2 linked regions of the Caenorhabditis elegans genome follow. The protein of the gene in region 1 purifies or fractionates together with the protein of each later gene. This does not show direct contact. Each region holds a gene or a part of one and is shown on either strand. Other genes may lie near its edges.

What was found.
Region 2: the proteins of F10E7.5 (region 1) and Y54E10A.10 fractionate together in Caenorhabditis elegans (co-fractionation; one large-scale study listed by BioGRID). This does not show direct contact.

The regions. Positions count from the first base shown.
Region 1 is NC_003280.10:7,109,853-7,113,509, forward strand, and holds F10E7.5 (Ribosome assembly factor mrt4), read left to right. Parts: upstream 1-2,128; 5' UTR 2,129-2,139; coding exon 2,140-2,167; intron 2,168-2,215; coding exon 2,216-2,274; intron 2,275-2,321; coding exon 2,322-2,399; intron 2,400-2,448; coding exon 2,449-2,627; intron 2,628-2,674; coding exon 2,675-2,993; 3' UTR 2,994-3,130; downstream 3,131-3,657. Other genes in the region: F10E7.9 (Amino acid permease/ SLC12A domain-containing protein), read right to left, coding at 49-158; F10E7.6 (uncharacterized protein), read left to right, coding at 3,232-3,339, 3,387-3,657.
Region 2 is NC_003279.8:3,174,589-3,178,343, forward strand, and holds the start of Y54E10A.10 (Ribosome production factor 2 homolog), read right to left. Parts: upstream 1,732-3,755; 5' UTR 1,723-1,731; coding exon 1,654-1,722; intron 1,582-1,653; coding exon 1,466-1,581; intron 663-1,465; coding exon 464-662; intron 1-463. Other genes in the region: Y54E10A.11 (E3 ubiquitin-protein ligase listerin), read right to left, coding at 1,924-1,986, 3,615-3,755.

The sequences.
Region 1 (3,657 bases):
CAAAAGACCAACCAAGGTGTTACAATCTAAATTCTCATGATCTTGTACCTTTGCCACCATGGTAATTGCGACGAATCGGCAGTTTCTCCTTGCGAAAAGATGGAATCAGGTGGTTCAACAACCACAGAATGTGATGACGACGGACCCGTCTCACTCATTCTGGAAGATGGATCTGAACCCAAATGAGACGGCGATGATGGTTGCCTGAAAATGTTTGGAAATTATGTTCTGAAGGATTTATCAGTAAAAGTCAATAAATAGAACCAAGTTAGACATTTTAGAATTTGATACGATTTTTCGTAAGACTATTTTGGTTGCATATGATCTATCTTTTTTGAGCCTGAACTATGAAAATACATTATTATTATTATTATTATTGAGAATTGAATTTCAAGAAATTTTACAGAATCATTTTCAATTTAACATATAACGCTCACCGTTGATGAACATCCATTAAACCACTATACATATTTAAATTACTAAATACTGTGTTCTTTTTCTAAACGGAATAGTTTTGTGGTTTTCGTTTATATCTTTCAAATCAATCTTGTGTAGAATCCTACTAGGAACTGGTCATTCATTGATTTTCTAAAAACCTAATTACTTGTTTCCGGAAAACTTCAAGTTTTCATGGTTTCGGGTCCTGGCACGAGTGCAACTTTTTAGCTACCGTACCCGCAAGTAGGATAGTCCTTCAATCTTTCACATTGCATTATCCTTTTTCATATTTGAATTAGTTCCAATAGTGAATCTTTAACGATATTTGCAACAAAAATATTTTAAAACTAGAGGTATCCGAGGTAGAACAGCGGAGTACGCGCGGGTACTGTAGCTGGAAAGTTCCACGTGCCAAGACACGAAACCGTAGTTTTGTTCAACTGCAACTATTTGCAAACAGCTCTGCTAAATAACGAAAATTTAGAATTCAAGATTTTGTTTCAAAAATTTCAAATATTCAATGAAGCGTGCTCCATCTTTTATTCGAGTCATGATGATTGAGATATGGAATTGGGAATTTCCGGAAACTGAAGAAACTGAATAAATTACATTTTGAGATTTTATGTATTAAAGATGATACGCTTTAATTCAAATGGAGCACTATGTCTAGTCGAATTTATCTAACAATTGAGTTTTGGCAATCGAATGAATTTATGGTAACCTGTTGTTTTTCATCGTTCAAACGCAAATTTAAGAGTCTGGAAAATAGAGAGAATGCATGGATGAACCAAAAAAAAAAAGAAAGAAAAATGCAGTGCTCACAACAAAACGAGAAAATGACTCTGCGTCTCTACATCCTCCTCAATCTTTTATTCGACATTTCCTCTGAAATTCGGTTTCAATTTCGAAATGAAAAAGAAGAGAAAAAAAGAGAAGTGGAATTTAAAAGCGACATGGAGAGGAGACGGCATTATTGATTTGGAGAGCTCATGGCTCTTGCTCGAAGAGCATGTATGCGCGACGACGTGAATTGAGAGAAGTGAGGGAAACGAGAAAAGGAGATGAAGTAAGAGAAGAAGAAGCTTCTCATCTGACGATACTTGATTGGGCTAATTGGGATGCAGATGAATCTTATGGGAATATTCAGATATAGAAGGGACCTACCATCTTCCAATTTTTTTTCTGAAACTTGAAACTGATCTAGATTTTCAGTCTAAACTGTCTGAAACTTCAACGTGGATATTCCATCTCAAAGAACTGATACAGAAAGCATGTATTATTTCACATAGGGAACTCGGAAAGTTTTGTTTCGTGTTGTTTCGTGTTGGATCTATAATTCTACATATCCCCTTCTGATATTTTTTCGTTTGAAACCATAAAAAGATGAAACTTATTTTAAGGTTACCGCTACTACATTCTCATTAAACCTATTTTAAAGAAATCATAGCATCTGACAATGTCAACCAATTTTTGTATCTTCTCCGCTATTGAGACTTCTTTAAATGAACTTGAATATTAGTTTTGGTTACGGTGTGCAAAGGTACGCAAACACCACTACGCGCAGTTGCACACAATCATTTTCTCTGTTTTTTTTTCTTGTTTCTTCATTTCTTCAACTTTTCCTATGTTGTTACTGCTACTTTTCAGCTTTTTATAGTTTAAATTGCAATTAAATTGTAATTTTCAGCAGTACTCTACACAATGGCTCGTTCCCGCAGAGATAAAAATGGTAATTTTGTTGTAAAATTAAATTATAGGCAAACTTTTTATATTTCAGTGTCACTCACAAAAGTCAAGAAGAAGACTAAGGACACAAAGAACAATTTGGTTAATGAGGTAAAATTTAAGAGTGAAGTGCTGACTAAATAATTATTTTTTTCCAGGTCCGTGCAAGTGTCGATCAGTACAAAAACCTTTTCATTTTCACGATTGCTAACATGAGAAGCACACGATTCATTGCCGTTAGTTAAAATCAGATTGAATTAAAATTTGATTACTTTTGAATTACAGATCAGACAAAAGTACAAGGAGAATTCAAGATTTTTCTTCGGAAAGAACAATGTCATTTCTATCGCTCTTGGAAAACAGAAGTCTGATGAGTACGCAAATCAGCTTCACAAAGCCAGTGCAATTCTGAAGGGTCAATGCGGTCTCATGTTCACCAACATGTCCAAAAAGGAAGTTGAGGCGTAAGTTTTGAGTAACCATTGCTTCTCTAATAGCATTTTATCTTCAGTGAATTCTCCGAAGCTTCAGAAGAAGATTACGCTCGTGTAGGAGATGTTGCCACAGAGACAGTTGTTCTACCAGAAGGACCAATTTCACAATTTGCCTTCTCTATGGAGCCACAACTGCGAAAACTTGGTCTCCCAACGAAACTTGACAAAGGAGTTATCACCCTCTACCAACAGTTTGAGGTGTGCAAAGAAGGCGAACCGCTGACTGTGGAGCAGGCTAAAATCTTGAAGCACTTCGAAGTGAAGATGTCTCAATTCCGTCTTATCTTCAAAGCTCACTGGAACAAGAAAGACGGCTTCAAAGAGCTTGATGCTTAACTTCTGCTAATCATCCTTTTATTGTTAATTTGTTGATTTGATTCTGATTCTCCTTGATTTGAAAACACCCACTCCATCCGAAAATTGTCGTTTATCATCTTGTTTTTTTGTTTATCCAATAAATTGTTACTTGTTTCAGAGTATTAATATTGATAAATATAGAAGGAGGTTAAATCCCAAACTTATTAAATATCCAATGATGATTATAAACCAACGAGAAAGCTGATTGTTCAGGAACATGTGGAGGGTTTTGTTATCTCGTTCCTCAATATTAGCTCAAGCCAGAGGATTGGCAACCAAGAGAAACGCACCTGAACCGAAGTTTACACAAAGTGCCGCATTTCAAGTAATTACCTCGAAGCATAAATAATTATTTTAGTAGATGTCTTTCAGGGTCGTGGATCTCGAGGAATGCCACAATTCAAGCCAGATTACTACTCATCAGACGCGTATGCCAACAAAAAAGTGCTATCAGCTATCGGAAGTCTTATAGCAATTGTAATCTATTTCGGTTGGCTCAGAGAACCATCAGATTTGGACGAAATATGGAGCGCTCCACCACACATTTTGACCTCCAATTTGGAGAGAAAAATGCTTCGAGAACAAATTAAGCAAGCTCAAGAGAAGGGAATGGATACAGCGCTTCTACGAGCACAATTGGAGT
Region 2 (3,755 bases), on another chromosome or scaffold:
ATAAAATCAAAAAACGAAAAATTTTTAGATTTTGCAACACCGAAAATCGAACAATTTTCGTTTTTTTTTTGGAAATTTTTTTTTTGGAAAAGTGAAGTTTAGAAGCTAAAATACGATTTTTTTTTGGTTTTTTTTGTCCTAGCATAGAGCCAATCTGTGCTAAAATGGACGTATTTGGTAGTAAAAAACTTCGCAAAATGCAAATTTAGAAGAAAAATTGCCTATTTCAGTTAAAATCCAATTTTGGTCACTTTTTCGTGTCGCAGCGGTCTGAAGTTTACTTTTTTTTTTCGAATTAACATCTTTTATTGCACTTTTTTTCGTAAAAAAAAATGCAATAAAGGATGATAATTCGAAAAAAAAAGCCAATTTCGGACCACTGCGACACAAAAAAGTGGCCAAAATTAGAGATTTTAGCTAAAAATAGGCTAAATTTCGACATCTTCCTTCAAAAAAATCCAACCTCAAAGTTGGATGAGGATTTGTAGGAAGTGATTCTGAGCTCAGCCATATCGAGAAGCTGTCCATCGTAAGTTCTGCCAAAAGTCAGGCAATTCGGCTTCTTCTTCGAATTTGAACCCAGCACAAACAATGAAGTATCGAATTTCGAGCCAGCACGGACGATTGGGGTCTCGTCCTCGAACAAATGGTACGGATTGTGCCTGAAAATTGAATTTTTTTTTTTGGGATGAACGGCCTTTTATCATTTTTAATTGAAAATGTGTAGAAAATCTCTAGATTTATCTGAAAATAACGTAAATTTCAGCTGAAAATGCTCAAAAATTACCTTTATTCGGCAGTTTTTGCCACTTTGAGCTGAATTCAGCTGAAATGAATGATATTTTCAGACATCTACAAATTTTTAATTAAAAATGTTAGATTCTTGTGTAGAATCATTCTGTGCGTACAAATCTGCTGATTTCAGTGCAAGTTTTTGAATTAAAAATGTATTTATTCTGTCGAAAAGTGTCTTTTTGAGGTCTTTTCAGTAAAAATCAATATTATTTTCAGATTTTTCAACTCAAAACGTGGGATTTTCAGACTGAAATTAACAGATTTGTACGAAAATCGAAGCCGCACAGTATAATTCCACACAATCGGTGAGAATCTCTAGATTTATCTGAAAATAACGTTAGTTTCAGCTGAAAATGCTCAAAAAATTGCCGAATAGAGGTAATTTTTGAGCATTTTCAGCTGAAATTAACGTTTTTTTCAGATAAATCTAGAGATTTTCAACTAATTTTCAATGAAAATGTTGGATAATTGTAGAGATCCTTGTGCGGCAATTATTTTCGTTCAAATTTGTTAAATTCAGTCTGAAAATGCAATTTTTGAATCGAAAAATCTGAAAATAATATTAATTTTTGTTGAAAAAACCTCAAAAAGGCATTTTTCAACAAAATGAATTCATTTTTGACTCTAAAACTTGAATTTTCACACTGAAATCAGCCGATTCAAGCCCTACTTGTCCATTTTAGTGGTAAGCGGCTTCTTCATGTCGAACAAATCCATCATTGCGTGGCTGATTATCTCGTTTGTCTTGGCTCCACGGCAAAATAGGGCTTTCTTGTCATTTTCGACCTGGAAATTGGTTATTTAATGCTTTTTTAGGCGAAAAATCGCGAAAATCGCAAAATTTCGATAAAAACCAACAGTTTTCGACGCCCGATTGACCAAAACTCTCTTTCCCTTCTTTGTCTTAATTTTTTCGACTCGAACCATGCTGAAAACCTGAAAAACCGCGGAATATACCTTAAAAATGCAAAAAATAGGCACAGAGATAGCAAATTTCCCGAGAAAAACGGGATTTTTTTCGAAAAATAGAGAAAAATCAATAAAATATCTATCCGTAGTTGACACCGAATGATAAACAGAAATAAATTCTTTAAAAAATAAATATTATCACAAGAAAAAAGAGGAAATTTAAGTGAAATTATTCCGGCAAAGTGGGCAAGTCGATTGATTGCTTGATTCGAACCATTTGTACTGAAAAAAAAGAAAATTGGAGAAAGTTAGGCCACGGCCACCACGGCCCCACGAAAATGGAATCTGCGTAACGGAGATCTGCGACAATTTTGCTAACATTTCGGATTGAATTGGCAAAAAATTGTAAATTTTCGATATTTTCCAGGAAAAGCAGAACATTTTTAAATTTTTTATAAGAGATAATCGAACATTTACGTTTTTTTTTTTACTTTAGAGAAAATCGAAATTTTCCGATTTTCTGTTTGAAAAAAAATTGAAAAATCCACATTTTCTATGAAAAAATCAAACATTTTCAATTTTTTTCAATTTTTCCCTGAAAAAAATAATTTTAATTGTTCAGAATTTTTTATAATCGAAATTTTCAAATTTGTGGAAATTTTTATTCAAAATTATCAGATTTTTACCTAAAAACTCCTATTTTTCTTCTTTTTTTCGATGTTTCCCGAAAAGAAAAAACGAAAATTTTCGATTTTCTCTGAAAAAATATGCAATTTTTCCATTTTATCGATTTTTGCAGGAAAAAAATTCAGAAAATCGTAAAATTTCGATTTCCAATTTTCTCAAAATTTTTTTCTGAGAAAATCGAAAAACGTTTCGCTTTTCTCTAAAAAAGTCGGTATTATCAATTTTTTTTTTGGAAAAAATTTCATCTTTTGAATTTTTTTTTTTTCAGATTTTAACTAGAAAATTCCAAAATTTTTTTTTCGATTTTTCCAGAAAAAGAAATCGGAAATAAAAAAATCATAATTTTCTGATTTTCTCTAGAAAAAATTGAAAATAATCAATTTTTCTGGAAAAAATCAAAATTTCGGAATTTTTTTCTTCAAATTATCAGATTTTCATCAGATTTCCGCAAGAAAACTCCAAATTTTCAGTGTTTTTCGTTTTCGTTTTTTGCATTTTTTAAGGGAAAAATCGCAAATTTTTCAAAAATTTCGAGTTTTCACAGAAAAAATCAGAAATTTACAATTTTTCGACTTAAAACAAAATTGAAAATTTTCGATTTTCTCTGGAAAAAATTCAAAAATCGTAAATTTTTAATTTAAAAAATCGAAATGTTTTCAGGAAAAATTGAATAGCTGCGTTTTTTTCACTGAAAAAAATCGGAAATGAAATTTTTTTTCAAAATTATCAGATTTTCATCAGAAAACTCTAAAATTTCAGCTTTTTTTTCGATTTTTCCCGAAAAAAATCGAGAAAATCGATAATTTGTTATTTTTGATTTAAAAAATCGAAACATTCCGATTTTTCAAAAAAAATTTTAAAATGTTCTCTTTTCTTTGGAAAAATTTTTGAAAATCGAAATTTTCAGATTTTCTCTGAAAAAAATCGGAAAATTTACAATTTTTTGGAATTACTCTAAAAACATTTTTTAAAACTGAAAAAAAAGTCGAAAATTCTGAAATTTTTCGATTATCTCTAATAAATCGAAAATTTCCGATTTTTTCTGAAAAAAGTCGAAAATTCTGAAATTTTTTAAATTTTCTCTAAATTTTTTTTCCTCAAAATTATCAGATTTCCGCCAGAAAACTCCAAATTTTCAGAGTTTTTTTAAAAAATATTTTTGCAGATCTGCAGATCTCCTTCTCGCGCATTTCCTCTTTCCATAGGGCTTCCTCATAACCTACCAAACAATTCGAATGGAATTTATTCTTGCACTGTTTGCACTTAATTTTCGGCAACTGATGTGTCTGCTGATGTACAGTCATCATACAAATCGTACAATCCTCAACACCCTCCACACCCTTATCAACATTCCGCTTCCACAT